Linked DNA regions of Schizosaccharomyces pombe. The gene in region 3 interacts genetically with the main gene of each other region. Each region holds a gene or a part of one and is shown on either strand. Other genes may lie near its edges. The genes, in order: air1, alp31, pfd3 and dsk1.

The links.
Region 1: mutations in pfd3 (region 3) and air1 together harm fitness more than expected from each alone (negative genetic interaction), as found in Schizosaccharomyces pombe (2 studies listed by BioGRID).
Region 2: mutations in pfd3 (region 3) and alp31 together harm fitness more than expected from each alone (negative genetic interaction), as found in Schizosaccharomyces pombe (2 studies listed by BioGRID).
Region 4: mutations in pfd3 (region 3) and dsk1 together harm fitness more than expected from each alone (negative genetic interaction), as found in Schizosaccharomyces pombe (2 studies listed by BioGRID).

The regions. Positions count from the first base shown.
Region 1 is NC_003423.3:978,857-982,565, reverse strand, and holds air1 (TRAMP complex zinc knuckle subunit Air1), read left to right. Parts: upstream 1-1,797; 5' UTR 1,798-1,985; coding exon 1,986-2,207; intron 2,208-2,256; coding exon 2,257-2,358; intron 2,359-2,413; coding exon 2,414-3,037; 3' UTR 3,038-3,208; downstream 3,209-3,709. Other genes in the region: SHREC complex ATP-dependent chromatin remodeller Mit1, read right to left, coding at 1-498; U1 snRNP-associated protein Usp103, read right to left, coding at 673-995, 1,055-1,270, 1,317-1,326; ilv1 (acetolactate synthase catalytic subunit), read right to left, coding at 3,448-3,709. UniProt on the Schizosaccharomyces pombe protein: Component of the TRAMP (TRF4) and TRAMP5 complexes which have a poly(A) RNA polymerase activity and are involved in a post-transcriptional quality control mechanism limiting inappropriate expression of genetic information.
Region 2 is NC_003424.3:3,375,190-3,378,581, reverse strand, and holds alp31 (tubulin-specific chaperone cofactor A Alp31), read right to left. Parts: upstream 1,477-3,392; 5' UTR 1,435-1,476; coding exon 1,366-1,434; intron 1,303-1,365; coding exon 1,216-1,302; intron 1,064-1,215; coding exon 860-1,063; 3' UTR 682-859; coding exon of another isoform or gene 624-681; 3' UTR 579-623; coding exon of another isoform or gene 561-578; 3' UTR 514-560; downstream 1-513. Other genes in the region: SPOM_SPAC8E11.05C (uncharacterized protein), read right to left, coding at 1-310; SPOM_SPAC8E11.06 (uncharacterized protein), read left to right, coding at 488-513, 561-578, 624-681; SPOM_SPAC8E11.08C (uncharacterized protein), read right to left, coding at 2,764-3,066. UniProt on the Schizosaccharomyces pombe protein: Required for the maintenance of microtubule structures and cell polarity. Beta-tubulin-folding protein; may have a regulatory role in the tubulin-folding pathway.
Region 3 is NC_003424.3:600,298-603,555, forward strand, and holds pfd3 (prefoldin subunit Pfd3), read right to left. Parts: upstream 1,222-3,258; 5' UTR 1,189-1,221; coding exon 1,178-1,188; exon of another isoform or gene 1,129-1,177; coding exon 1,030-1,128; intron 986-1,029; coding exon 586-985; 3' UTR 529-585; downstream 1-528. Other genes in the region: SPOM_SPAC3H8.08C (transcription factor), read right to left, coding at 1,763-3,258.
Region 4 is NC_003423.3:824,254-829,606, reverse strand, and holds dsk1 (SR protein-specific kinase Dsk1), read left to right. Parts: upstream 1-1,674; 5' UTR 1,675-1,793; coding exon 1,794-3,428; 3' UTR 3,429-3,859; coding exon of another isoform or gene 3,860-4,362; 3' UTR 4,363-4,418; coding exon of another isoform or gene 4,419-4,542; 3' UTR 4,543-4,607; coding exon of another isoform or gene 4,608-4,733; 3' UTR 4,734-4,802; downstream 4,803-5,353. Other genes in the region: SPOM_SPBC530.15C (spermidine family transporter), read left to right, coding at 1-516; lsc1 (Lsk1 associated cyclin), read right to left, coding at 3,860-4,362, 4,419-4,542, 4,608-4,733, 4,947-5,028, 5,073-5,233. UniProt on the Schizosaccharomyces pombe protein: May play an important role in mitotic control by altering cellular location, degree of phosphorylation and kinase activity. Abundant expression accelerates the exit when cells are in M-phase and also delays the entry into mitosis when cells are in G2.

The DNA.
Region 1 (3,709 bases), on a different chromosome or scaffold from region 3:
TAAATGCGACAACGATAACTCATTATGCTCTTTTCTATTAACCTTCTTATTTGTATCAGATGAAGATGAAGTTGCACTGTCAGAAGCCGTTTCATCACTGACAAATGAAGGATTAAGTGCGCAGTGAAATTCCTTTCCGAACTTAAATTTCTTGGTACGTGTTGAGTCCCTTAAGACTTTACTACCATTAGACTTCAGTAAATAATCATTTTTCTCTTCCTCATCCTTATCGGTTGAAGTCATATACCCATGGTACCTCTTTCGAGATTTGTGTTTTAACCATACTCTTAAACAAGCTTTTCCATTTTTATATTTATCAAGTTCATCTTTTTTTATCAATGCTTCAACACCCGCCAAGAATTTAACACTCAGTGTGCTGTCATTTTCGTGCAGTATTTTTTGAACGGTGGTTTCAGACGCGTCATAATAAGGTAGTAAAACATCAAGCGGTTCACGACGTACTACTATTTTACATAAAGAATCATCTTCTTTTGGCATGCTTTGAGATGAATATCTAAATATTCTTGGTAAATACTGTGTATTTGGAGTTGTCCTTAAATTTCACTACGTAACGCAAAGAGAAAGAATTACCAGTAGTAAACGGTTATAAACAATAGCTATTATACAGTACATTAATAGTAACAAACAAGTTTTAATCTTTTAGATGTCATTTTAAGCACGTACAAACCTTTGATGACTTCTTTGACCCTGATGGTGGGTTTTAGTAAAATGGTTATTAGCATTCGAATGAGTACGCGCGCGTTGATGTTCATTTGTCTGAGGAAGAGATTGCTGCTGTTGTGTAAGTTGAGTGTTAGAAGAAGCTGTAGTCTGGGGAGCTGAAAAAGCTACTTGGTTTGTTAAATTTACAGCAGGCATCATAGGGACGAATGCAGCAGCATTCATAGCATTCATTCCTTTAGGAGCCATATAGGTATTTGCGGATACAATGTAGGGCGGTGGTGGACATCCTAAGTTAAAGACATTATATTTGGCTAAAATTCGGAATATTAGACTTCGTATTCAACAAAAGTATTATAAAGTAATAACTTACGAGGAAACGCATAAGCATAAGGAAGGTCTAGCGAACCATTCCCCTTTTTTAAAAATCCAGAGGATGCCCTTTCTTCAAGTTGTTTTTGGGCTTCTTCTTGAGCTACTTTCGTATAGTAGTCCTGAACATTTTGTATATGGGCTCTTCCAGCATTGTGTGCTTTTCTAACTGATTGGCTATCATGAGTGAGCCAAACTTGGCAGTAATCACACAAATCTAAGCATTAATTAGTTTTCAATTATTGTTATTCATCGTATCATACATCTTGGCATTTTAGCGTGTTTGGCTGTTGTTGAGTCTTGTAATAAATGTGAGCTGTGTTGAAACGCTAAAATGATTTAAAAAGAAATTAATGTCAATTAGCAACAACTATACAAAGAACGTTCATAGTTAAACATTGAATGTTAAATTACTGTTTATCTATGCTTTACAAAGTGTTGAAACGAAGCTCTCGAATTTTCAACTACTTTAAAATCCAACGCCTTGAAGAGTCGGGAAGGTGCAATCATTTAATATTTTAATATAATTAAGTTACTGCTGTACTTTCAATATCTCTTCACGATCAGGGCTTTTAAGTACCAGACATTCTTGGTTATGCATTAAGTGTTGCATTTGAGAGAACAATTGTAATTTGGAGTATAAGTTATTTATTGAATTTCATTTATTGTCATGCTCATTTCAATGAAATAAACTTCTCATGAGAAAGCCAGATATAATCCATGTAAGGTGAATACTCACACCTTAACCAAAAATTTTTTGCCTTTACTGAAACTATTAAATTTCCATTTGATAGTTAAATACTTGAAGTGTTTTATGTTTTATTTGCTTTTAAACTGTTAAATTGATTGGGAATATTGTGAAGTAAACTACTGGCCGGCTGTTAAGTGTTAAAGAAAACTGTGCTTGCCATTATTACATTGCTTGTCAATATATGGACATGACTGTTTCAAACCAAAAAGCAGAAAGTGATGATGGTTCAGACATCGACGATGCGGCCTTGTTACAAAAAATTAATTCTTTACCGATTGACCAGAGTATCACAAATTCGGTGAGCTTGGAAAAGCATGATTTTCAAGGAAGTGATGACCATGACTCCTCTACGGATCTTTCCGATAGTACTTTGGAAGATGTGGAAGGAAGTGAATGGGCAGACGTATGGATTGAAAAGTTTTTTTTTAATACTTTTTACTAATAAAATTTAGGTGAGCAGGGGTAGATACTTCGGGTCAGATCCCTCAGAAAGTATAGTTTGCCATAATTGTAAAGGGAATGGTCACATATCTAAAGATTGTCCTCATGTTCTGGTATGCATTTTGATCGGACATTGTTTTTTTAATAGTGTTACTAACTGTATTACAGTGTACGACTTGTGGAGCAATTGATGATCATATTTCCGTAAGATGCCCCTGGACTAAGAAGTGCATGAATTGTGGACTACTGGGTCATATAGCTGCGCGATGTTCGGAGCCGCGAAAAAGAGGACCTAGAGTTTGTCGGACTTGTCATACCGATACTCATACTAGTTCGACGTGTCCTTTAATTTGGAGGTATTATGTCGAAAAAGAACATCCTGTTCGCATTGATGTTTCTGAGGTTCGAAAGTTTTGTTATAATTGTGCATCTGATGAACATTTTGGAGACGACTGTACTCTTCCATCTAGATCAAATTATCCTGAAAGCACTGCATTTTGTGAAGCGAACTGTCCTTCTGGAAATGATGCATCTAACAAGGAGTTTTTTGAAACCCGTCGTAAAGAGTTTCAATTGGAGAGGCGAGAGCAGAATCGAAATCAAAAATCGTCGAAACAACGGCCTTTTCACAAACCAGGAAATTCTCTAGCATCTAGGCTGGGATCTAAGCCAAAAAGCTTTAAAAGAAAACATAGCCCACCTTCTGAGGAGAATGGCAATTTATCCTTTCATTCTTCAGATGGAAGAAAATTTACCAAAACTTCAAAAAAAAATCGTAAACGAAAATGGTAATTCATGTGCTGGTATTATTCATCGCATGGTGTATCGCTCTGCTCACATTGCATTGCACTCATTGATAATACTATCTTACTAAAATTTATTGGCAAAATCTAAAATATATGTACATTAATTTTATACACTCTCATTTGCTATGTTCGCAAAATTTGTAATGTTATTGACCTCCATCATCAAAATTAAATACAAGCTATGATAACGGAGTAAACCATAGTTAGAAAGCAAAACAAAAAAAAACAACCAAAATCGAAGATAACAAGGCAAAACAAACAAATTTGCTTTAGGGTAAATAATGACAAACCGCCCACCAGAGTCTAAAAGAATGTGACACGATAATTAACGCAAGTTTAAATAAGTGTTACATCTGACTCTTACAAAATAGCTGTTTTTAAATTAATCAAAAAAATTTATGAAAGGCTTTCATGCAAAATAAATTGGTGAAGAGCCTTACCACCAGGGACAAATGGATACACATGTTCCTTTTGGGCAACCAAAACTTCCATAAGCACAGGACCTTTAGTTGACAAAAACTCCTTCATTTTTTTAGCCAAATCTTCTCTCTTTTCTACACGTAGTGCTTTGATGCCCATAGCGTCAGCCAACTTAACGAAGTTGGGATTCTTTTGATGAGTATGAGAATAGCGTTTCTCATAAAACAAGTTTTGCCAT
Region 2 (3,392 bases), 2.8 Mb from region 3:
AAATACTAGCTTCTCTATTAATACTAAGACTCTCCGCCCAAACAGTTGATGTAGCGTCAAGGTCAAGTTTAGATGCTTCAACGACTTTTTGGTTTTTAGAATCGTAATCCTCTACAGGATTTAAATCATCTTCTTCAAGAAGGTGTGGATCTATTTTTGTATCAGCTCCCTCTTCGCCATCTACATCTTCCTTCAACGATGAAGATGCAGAAGGGTCAATATTTACTTCAGAGTTGCCGCCGTCAGATTTCTTCTCTTCTTCTAAACCCAACACAGGTGATTCCCTTGATAATATTGGCGGACTTGCCATAGGTATACAAATGGAACGTTTTATGCTCCCAATCTGTTTAATGTTCACGCGAAGTGTTTCTTTCTCTTTGCTCAGATGGTAAGTAACGTCAAACAATGAGCTGTACAATCTAACATAGTGATACGCTACATTACACTCACAATAAAAGTGCAAATAAATACTAGAGGACGACTGTCTATGCTGCTTGTTAGCAGGAACATTTGGTTGTTTTAAAATTGTTTGATTGTCCAGCTAAAATTTAAATCTCTAGTAGAATAAAGGGGAATACGTATGTTTTTTTATGTGAACAGTTTCACCTAACTGGCAAAATTAGAATAGATTGGCGAAATCTTAAAAAAGATTTAAGCATGACTTGGATAATCCTTAAGTAGTTGGGATTGTCTATTATTTTAATGGATTGGAATAAAAATCGAAGACACAGTACAGTTGAGTAGGATAGCATTGAAAGGGTGGGTAAAGAATGATGAACGTAGAACCTTTTCATGATCGTCTTTTGAAGGGTCAGTAATAAATTTTAGCAGGGATCTACAAAAGCTAGTAAATGTGTATTCAGTGGTACCCATTCGTGGGGAAATTCGTTTGCTCTTTTTCAATTACTTCTTTTGCTTTTTCTAAATATTCATTTGCTTGTTCAAGTTCAGGAGTTCCTTCGTATGCACTGTCAGAAGAAATGGATTCCAAGTCGTTCGTCGCATTACGAAGACGTACAAGAGCATCTGGCAACGCCTCAAGATGCTTCTTCAAAACAAATTTCTAGAGGTCCAGAATGTCAGTACTTTGATTATTTTTTATTTTAAAAAAGATACGCTAAAGCGGAAACCACCGAAAAGTATCTTCAGCTTGGTAGAAACATCTTCTAGCACAACACGTCCAACGTTTATATGGTTTCAACTAATGCAACATACCTGATGCTCAATTTCTGCAGAATCTTCCCCATTATCAATTTTACTTTGTACACGTTTCTCGGCCTCGTTAATATCGATATGAGCCAACTAAACAATTGTTGAGGTCAGAAAATTCCATCTACAAAATCGCGATCCAAAAAGGAAACTTACTTCTACATCTTTAATAATTCTTTTAACGACATTAGTTTTGATGACTAAGCTCCTAACAGTATTTGACATGGTAGAAAATAAAATGGACGCGATATGCAAAGGAATAATGTTAGGTTGGATGATTTTCCTTGACTGCAGTGTAGGTAACGTTGGAATACAAAGGAATGCTAATGTTAGCGTGTGGTGATAAGTTACGAGAAACGATTAAGAAAAGCTAGTTCTAGTTAAGTTTTCAATTTCTTTTAAAGCCCTTTCCTTAAATTCCTAAAAAAGGGTATTTGATTAAATGTTTGCATCAAGTATCAGACTAGTTATTGATCGACAAACGTTTCATTCCTATATTATGTATGAGATAAAATTGCTCAGTTATTTCTAAATTTACGATTCACCGATACTTGTACCAAAAATTTCATGCTTTTATGGATGCTCAATCATATGGGAGGTTGAGCTTTTCGGGATTCAGCTATATGAAAATTTTCTAGCGCGTAATTCATTATATTTAGACGTAATTGCTTTTACAAATATTTTCCAAAACAAAAATTTCTGATTCTCCGTACACACAGTTATCTCCCAACAACCGAAATTGTTAAAAGCACGATTTCATATAAGGATAGGTTGATTGCTAATCACTCGAACCACAGTCTGTTAATAATTAGTCAACTTTGCCTAGCCAAAAAAATTCAGCTTCTATCTTAATCCTTGGAAAACAAAAAATAAAAAAAGGACCTAATACCCTCTTTCAAAGTAGATCCTGTACAAGATATTTAGTCTACTCAAAAAGCCGGTACAACGATATTAATGTCAACAGACTTCGGTATAATGGGACCAGTCTTCAATGTGAGGATAATAGCTAAAATCCTTTACTCTATATAGGACTTTAAATGGATCCTTGAATATTATTCTGTTTTCTAAAATGATTGATCATATTCTACGCCACAGATGCATCAAAAATTCAAATCATCGCTTGGGAGATAAAAGAGTGAACGCTTTTTCATAATCGAACAGCAACCTTTCGAACCCTAGTAGTCATTAGTATTTTAATCCACTTTTTTTTTTGCAAAGCTATGAAAAACAAAGACTGCAACCTGGTATAAGCATTTTAAACATATCGTACTTTGCGTGATCTAACAAATTAATCTCTATCTTGTCAGTTCACAACTTTGGACAGATACAGATGATGAATTTCGACAATTAAACATTTGCAAACAAGTCAAAGCTCAACATACAAGCATTCACTGTTTAACGCTTTTTGAACTTTCTCATTTCCTGAAACGTTTGTTTACAAGCTGATATAAAAAAAGGGATTGAATTGAACGGCTCAGTTGATATAGATTAATTTAAAAAGTGAACTCCGTTTAGAAAGTATCGCATAAGTTAAAAAATGGTATTCAAACAAAGCTAACAAAAACGAAACAAATCGCATTTTCCCATGAAAAATACAAGGTTGTTCGGAAAACTGCATATTTGAACATGATGACAGCCAAGAAGAAAAATAGAAGGATTTATTAGAATTCCCTTAAACTTTTCATTATAGTCTTTTCGGTACGGTAACAACCATATATACAATCTATACATTTCTTCAGACCATTCAAATCTTAAAATGGAGCTCCCCTTCAATTGAAGAAACGGAAAATTTTTTCTTGTCAAATTTTTACAGACTACTAACCTACTAAACAGAACCTCATTAGTGGTAAAGTCCATTTTAATACTTCTTGCTTATTAATTCATTATTTTATTGCCGTAAAACATAAATTATCCTTTTATTTTCTTCTTCTTTTCTTCCCTTGTATAATACTCATTTTTCGCCAAGTCTCAAGTATTCCAGTGTTCGATTCCGACCATGGAAACGATCTCGGTCGGGTAAAATGAAGACTCTGGTAGTCTCCAGGCTATTGCATCTCGTTCAGATTTGGGTTGATCTTCTGGAACAATGCGGGCAACTGGTAGAACGTTAATGAGGGAACAGATGAAAAACTGGAAACCTAGATGCGTGACAGGAGAATCTGGTGTTCTTTTTTTTTGAATAA
Region 3 (3,258 bases):
TCTGACATCCATTGAGTCATTCTTTACAATTTGTAAAATTAATTTGTATCACTAATTTTGAAGGAAGCTATTTTGGTATTAATACCGCTTTTGGTCTCCACTTCCTTTTCGAAACTCTTAACAGCGATTAGGCCGGGTATCTTCCAGTGTGATGTATAGGTATTTGTCGTTTTTTTATCATTTCCGTTAATAAAGAACTCTTTTATCCAGCTTCTTACACTGTCAACTGTTGTGAAAGGAACACATTTAGAATTTCATTTTCCTTATTTGTTGTGATTTAAATCGTTTGACATAATTTTAAATTTGGTTTGAAATGTGTGTGAGAAGGCTTGTTTTATTCATTTAGTTTATTGCTTGTTTGCACGAAAATCCAGAACGGAGCATTAATGTAATCCTTTTTTATTCTGTAAAGCGTTTTTATACAAATGTTGGTTATACGTTTCTAAAATAAGAATATTGTTATAATAATATAGTTTTTTCTATCATTTGTTACACACACTAAAGAGACATTAAGGATAAGCAAATGTGTTAAAATGATAATATATTTTGGAAACATTTATAAAGAAATTAAGCAGCTTTGACTAACTACATTTTTGTTTTTTTCCTAAGCAAAACTGTATAGTTATACACGCGAGCTGTATTCACTTCCATTGTAGTGACTTGAGCTCTCAAAAATTCCAAATCTTCTTTACATGCTTTCAATGTTTCTTCCGCTGAGTTCAGCTTCTGCGTTAACAATGCTTCTGCCTCTTCAACCGTATACTCAAGCATAACATTTGCACCTAACCAAAGGTAGACATTGTCTTTAGCTTCTACTTCTGCTTTTGCATTTAATGTGTCATTTAGTTCATATGTAACAGTAAAAGAGTCACCTTGTCGCTCTTTCAAGAACTGAACACTCTGTAACGTTTTTCGAATGTCAGGAATTTTGTCATCCAAACTAGCAACTCTCCTGACCACACTAGTCTCCATGAATTTGTACTTTCTAAATTACATTATATTAATATGAAATAACATATATATCCTTACGCAATTGCTTCTTGGAACTTTTCGAGATGACCTTGAGCTTCCTCCATAGATAACTCTTTGAACTCAAAAAATTGAGCGGGTGGAATTCCCCGTGGATTTCTATTCATATTAGTTATTTTTTTAAAAAGTATTATACTTCAGTACATACGAAGAACTCATTCTCTATGCAACAGAAAAAGGGGCGGTTGTTTTGAACAGGTAACTGAGTGTCAAAGGTAATAGGTATAGTAATGTTACAAATTTGGAAATGCGTATTATTCCCTAATTACCAAATCTAACCAAGTCTGAACTACACAGTCTAAATAGGCAGAATATTTTGGTTATACACATGTAATTGATAATTGTTGCAAAATCTATTCATCCAATTTACCAACCATAACCTGTATAGAACCATTGCGCAGCGTAATGCATTTTCATTTGAAAGTACTAGCGAGAGTTTTATATCACTAAACTTTTTAAACGTTTTTTAATTACTTGAAATCACATATTTTAGTTAAACATATTCTGTTTGGAAAAGGCAGTTTTGTTGAAAAAATTGTATTTGAAAGACAACTTTATAGAAGGATAGTAAGAAAGTTAATTCCTAAATGGTCTATATTGAACCAAAAATAGTTACATTAAAAAACGAGAGTCATTAAAAGAGCAGATAAATTTGACATTAGAACCACTTTGGAACATTAATCGAAATTTAATCAATCATACAAACAAAAAAATTACAAAGTGCTCGTTTAGGTCACTGATCAAGAAGGGCGGACGGTATAAAGTAATTTGAAGTAAAATCAAAAATGTCAGCGAATAATTTAGAGGGATCCTCCGTGGTTTCAGGTTCTGCATCTTGCATAGGCGGTTCATTTGGGTGTAACATACTGTTGATGAATCTTAAAACATATCCAAATCGGACAGCCATGCCATCATCAAATGTTACGATATCAACCATTCTTTCTTGTACATATAATGTTATGTCACCTAAGTCAGAAGGCACCTCAAAGCCTTTATCACGGCAAAACGCAGCCAACATGAGGGCGTGGATAATCTCCAACAACGCTACCAAAAGCCAGCCTCGTTTTTCTAATATAGTGATTTGAGATATGAGTAGCCTCACGCACTGAATACAACTTTCACCCAAATTACCAATAATAGTTTCTTCATCTTCTAAAATCCCTGAATCCAGGGTAATAAAACATTGATACAAATTCACACGTGCAGTCCAGAACACCATTTTCAAAAATATGTATCGAAATTGAATATCTTCATTAGAAGGGTCATAAAACTTTGCTTCTATATCTACCAAAATAAGCGAAAGCTGTGATTCATAACTCTCCAGTTTATCAATGAATTTACTAACGGTGAGTGAATGAACAGATTTATAGATTGAAACACCACAATCAAGTAACCTTCCAAGAAGTAGATGAAAATTGTAGCTAATATCGTCATTAAAAAAACAACGAAGCGGCTTGAGACGACCATAAGTGTCGTGTTGAATGAATGGCGGACGGTACTTTAATACACATTCCAAACCATCAATTTCACAGAGAGCAAACCACAAATCTGACGTATTTTTTCCTATTTTTTCCGTAACTTGGAAGAGGGGAGTTACTAAGGTTGATACGTGAATGCTTCTACATAAGTCAGTATTCACTCCTCTTATTCTTGTGCGAAATTTTGTTGCATACGCTCGCAAAAGCAGCATCTGAATTATTTCTTTATCAGGCAAGCATAAATGTTTATATTCCTGCTCGGATATCTCGTTAAGTTTTAAATTTATAAGACGGCTGGATTCCAATGGAGTAATCCCCGCCGAATTATAAAAATTGAGAATAACATCAGGCAAATCGCTCAGCTGGATAGTTGCAGCAATAATTGGTAATAAAGTGAAGGCATCTTCGTACGAAAAAGATTCTGGTGATTCAATGTTGTTTAAGCTTTTTTCTACTGTCTCTTGATCATAAATAGGACAGACAACATTTAGTGTTTTAAAAAATAAATTAACAATTTTCTGTGATATGCAAAATGGCGGTAAAAGGTTCGCCAAACTCTCAACAACCACATTATCTTTATAGCTACTGTAAGCCTGAATTGAAAACGAAGGTCGAGATGAGCACATGTCGCTATCCTTTCTATATTTAATCAACTCAAAGAGTGATCTCCATCCATAAAAATCAAATTTCTCATTTTTTTTCGGATTAATATCGGGAGAAACTTCCAGTGTGGTTTCAGAATCAGAAGCAT
Region 4 (5,353 bases), on a different chromosome or scaffold from region 3:
CTTCCGTATTTGGCTATTTTTGTTGGTGTTTGTATTGGATGCTCTAGCGTTGCCCTGTTCCAGCCCTACTATTTTAAAAAGATGGATGAAAATAAAGGAAGACCTGTTCCTGAAGCACGACTTCCCTCCATGATGATCGGTTGCATTGTCTTTCCCATTGGCATCTTTTGGCTTGCTTGGACTGGTAATTATCCATGGATTCATTGGATTGTTCCAACTTTGGCAGGTAGTTTTATTGGCTTTGGAATCATTACAATTTTTCAACAAACAATCAATTATATCATTGATTGTTATAGTGGATGTTCTGCTTCTGCAATCGCGGCCAATACATTACTTAGAAGTTCGTTTGGCGCGGCATTTCCTCTTTTTACAACCCAAATGTTCAATAATTTGGGAATTGGTTGGGCTGGTTCTCTGGTCGGATTTGTTGCAGTTGGGCTTATTCCAGTTCCTTTTATGTTGTTTTTATATGGGCCGAAATTACGACAAATGAGCAAGCACTGTCTAAAGGATTAATTCGTCATAGAAGTCCGCTTTTTAGTTGATTTGCTTGACCCTCTCTTTTCCAGTTTTTGTTTTTCTTATTTCTGTTATATTCATCTTTTTTATTCAGAAACCATGCCCGCGGTTTGTTGCCTTGGGTTAATGGCCTCAGCATTTACTTGTTGTTATTGTTATTTTCGTTAATTTAACCAGTTTGCTGCCGTTTAGATATTTAGAAACGATGGACTTTGTTTTAAATGATCTCTATTACCCGCTGCCTCTTTCTTTTGTCTTTTTGTGACTTCTTTAATAATTCATCATCCTCAATGATTACTTTTGTTGATCTCCGTTTCCTTTATGTTTCTGATCATCACAAAAAAAGTACCTTTCAAATAGACATTTATATTTATTGGTTGGTTATGAACCTTACATATGATTTCCGTTTACCATAATACATTGCTAAGACCTCAACAAAAATAACTGTTAGCACAGGCCATACTTGTCAATTTATTATATCCCGTTTTTATCAATGTAATTGAATGTTTTCGAGTCCAGGTCTTGCCCGTAGAATCACGGTTAGTGTGAGTAGGTAGTAGATCTCGGGCCGTAGGTGTGAATGCCGTAAAGCTAGAACATTATCTGAGAATTTTCATTTTAAGAACGCCGTATGTTGAGAGAGAAAACAGATCTTAAATATCCCTCTTTTCAACGACTCAAGAATTGTTTACATTTTTTCTAGCTATCCTGTCGAGATCTAAGAGCTGAATGGGATACAGTTATAATGGATAACGATATAAATTTGGAAGACCTTAACACATCTTATGGAATTCTAACGGCTGGGCTACTTCGGTAAAAGTAGTTAGTAAGGGATAGCGATGGGATGAAAGCGCAGGGGGTTCATATTCTATCAACTGCTGATATTTTTAGTGATGCCTTAGTCATTGGTATTCATATATACGGATTTTTAAGTAGTATTATTAAAATATTTATGGTACAGTAACGGAGTGTAAAGGTGGCTTCTCCTACTGGCGTAAAATAATTAGTAAACCATTTTCCCATTTTTTGTTATTTACTATATCGAAACGCTCTTCCTAATGCGCAAAGTTTCCTCGGTAGTGTGCTAAGACTCCACGGTGTTTCCCCGTGTTGATTTTCGCACTAAAAATACTACTCCATACCGTATTTATAACCAGAACAAACAACAACAACAACGAAGGAATTGGTGTATTCACATATCTCAGATATTTTAATTTAAGAGCTGGAGGGACATATCAGTAGTTTCTTCATACGGGGCAGCCAGCCATTTTGAAATGGGAAGTGACGGGTCGAGTTTGTCACCGAAAGTGTCACAACCGGGACACACTGAAATAGTTGACCATGTCAGTGAAAAGGTGATCACGAATGGAAAAAATGTTAATAAAAAGGTCAATGCTGAAGTAGACGGAAAAAGCATGGTGGAAAAGGTAAAAACGCACGAAGAAAATGCAGAGGACTATCACTATGGTGGATACCACCCAGTCTACATTGGTGAAGAATTTCATCACCGTCGATATGTCGTTGAAAGAAAATTAGGCTGGGGACATTTTTCAACGGTTTGGCTTGCATATGATCGAGCTGCCAAACGGAGAGTAGCTTTGAAGGTGGTGCGTTCAGCAGAGCACTATCGAGAGACCTCAATTGATGAAATTCGCATTTTGCAGAAAATTAGAGAAGGGGACGAAAAGCATTTGGGCAAAAAGCATATCATTTCTTTGCTCGATTATTTTGTGCATCGTGGTCCTAATGGAGCTCATGTCTGTATGGTATTCGAAGTTCTCGGTGAGAATCTTTTAAGTTTGATACAGTCATACGGCCATCGAGGAGTACCTGTGGGTATTGTAAAGCAAATTGCCTACCAATTACTCATCGCTCTGGATTACTTGCATCGAGAATGCGGGATCATTCATACTGATCTTAAACCCGAAAATGTTTTAATATGCATTGATCAGGATGCCTTGCAACATATTGAGGCACCTGCAACAACTTCCTCCCCCACTTCTAATACCTCTTCTTCAAAAACAAGAAATAACACTGGTTATACAGCCAAAGCTCCAATTATTAAACGTGGCCAATCTGTAGATAACTCTGCCCAAGAACGCAAGACATTTGCAAAAAATCCAACTAAGAATTCTAAGCCTGCTGGCCAGGTCATTCCTAGCAGTCCTTTTACTTCCACTTTGAGCCGCTTTCCTTCATTAGAAGGTGCTGTTTCAGAAATCAGCCTTCGTGACTCTCAAAAGCATAATTCTCATCCTAATTCTCCGTTTTCTAGTGGAGATAATTCTCTTATACTTGATGGTGTTAACGGTTCTCAGGAACCCGTTCCAAAAATCACTGTTAAAATTGCCGATCTCGGTAACGCGTGCTGGACACGGAAGCATTTCACCAACGATGTGCAAACCCGTCAGTATAGGTCTCCAGAAGTAATTCTAGGATGTCGCTGGGGAGCTTCCGCTGATTGCTGGAGTTTTGCCTGTATCATTTTTGAATTGCTAACCGGCGATTACCTTTTCGATCCACGGAATGGGAATTCTTATTCTAAGGAGGATGACCACATTGCCCAAATTATTGAGTTATTGGTTAATTATCCTAAGCAAATGGCACTTTCAGGAAAGCACTCCCGCGATTTATTTAACCGTCGCGGTGAACTCCGAAATATTCATAAATTGAAGTTTTGGCCTTTAAAAGATGTTTTGGAGCAAAAATACCATTTTTCAGCCGAGTTGGCTCAACAAATATCAGACTTTTTATCTCCTATGTTATGTTTTGATCCTGCCAAGCGAACCAATGCTGGTTACATGAGCAATTCTCCATGGTTGCGCGAAGTGGCTGATCCTACGTTCAAAATCGAGACTACTGGAGCAACCGGTGAAGATGTACCCGGATGGGCTACTGAAATTCGTTAGTGTTTACCTTGATATTGGTTTTGAAGCGCTAGTAAATGATTTTTTTTTATATATAGTTTTTTTTTGCGATATCGTCCCTTTTTTAATTTCCCACCATTAGCGTGATTGCTTTAAAAAAGCATGACACCTTTCACTCTGAAATGGGTTACGTATGATTATCACGATTCCTTCTTTTGATCAACATTTACTGCACTGAAATTTGAACGAAATTTCCTTTTACTTAATGAATATTTAAGATATAGCAGGGTTTAGGTCAGCTGCTTTTTAAATCATATTATGTTTAGAAAACGCATAAAATAAAGTTTTGTCATTCAAAAGGAAGTTAATTGGAAATTGGTAACTTGTAATGTCACATATTAATATACTGTTCAGAATGCTGTCGAAAGAAGGAACAAACCGATGGTAAGATAACTCATTAAGGAACCATTAGATTAAACCGTACCTTTATTTCTCCTTTCTTCCAGCATTCGTTTTTCAAATTCGGTATTAAAATACTTTCTATCGCAGTCTAAAATAAATCTGGCACAACTTTCTTTGGATTCTTGAAGTCTCTTATTTGACTCACGGTATTCATCTGCTAAAGAAGAAGAATGAGGGTCAATTTGGGGTGGTTTTTGAGGACGGCCAGAGTTTTTTTGGGCTCGTTGGAAGTCAACACATAATCCAAGTAATTTTTCCGTTGTATACATATTACCAATGCAAGTGTGAGGCTGATAATGCATATATAGATCGAGTATATCCGCAATCACTGCTTCCGTTAGTGCTGGTGGAGCGAAGAACGATCTGGGAATTATAGGTTGAGGAAGTTGCTGTAACTTGCAAGCAATAGAAATCGATGCGACGGCAACAATATGGGCTGGATATTTTAACATTGTGTATGTTTTATAAGCATCAGTGCAGACATTCCAAGCTATACTTGCCGTGGAAGATGAAACTGAAAGTAAATTAGTTAACTCGAAAATTATAAGGTAAAATGAATAGCAGTCATACATTTCAGTGATTTTGCAAATTTTACCATGTAATTGTGTGGATGTCGGACTCGAAAATCGAAACAAATCAATTCCAGTGTCATTCTTTCTAAACCTAGAATCCTCTTCTTGTTCTCTTCGATTAGCTAATACACCTGTAAGCAAGTCTCCTTATAAACAAAAAACAATTATTGCGCACCTTGTAACATACTTGTGAATGAGCATCGACCTCAGAACCTGGATGCTTTTGAAGATAATGTGCTAAAAGAATATCACGAAACTTTTTGGCCGTATCTTCGATTTTACTAGCAACTACTAAGCAAGCAGTAGCGCACTCCTAAATGTGTTAGTTATTTTTGAAAGAAAAAGAGCCTAAATCAAGAGAATATGATGTTTATAACTTGGAGTAGCTGAGCTAACATTATTAAAAACTGTAGTCTTTTTTAATAGTATGACCAATGTACAGCATTCAGAATATTCTTATATCAGAATACGTAAAATTTCAAATAGCACAGCATACTCATGTGCGAAAGACATCCAAATAACATACCAGCAAAGGAATTTCATTCACGGGAAAAAATAGTTGGAAACGACTGTATAAAAGCATTGCAAGGCCGCTGGTCCTTACAGGGCTAAAAAAAAGTTAGATTCTAGATAATTTTGAGGAAAAGCATACAATTTTAAAGTTTTTGAAAGTGTTGATATCCAAGCGAACGCCTGCATTCGCAAATTATTTTCTTTGGGATCTCGCGTCGACAAAATTCGACTTATTTCTTTTTCTGAATAGTATGGGTGTGACATTCGTATTGAAAGTACATGATTCTCATTTTCTGCCATTTTAGCAGCTAAAATGGTGCTGGGTTTGTGAAGGCCTGGCTTTACCTGCAAGGTGCAAGTATGCTGAAGTTAAGCGATTCCTTTTAAGTAACGCATTTTATCATGTTGTATACTGTAAAT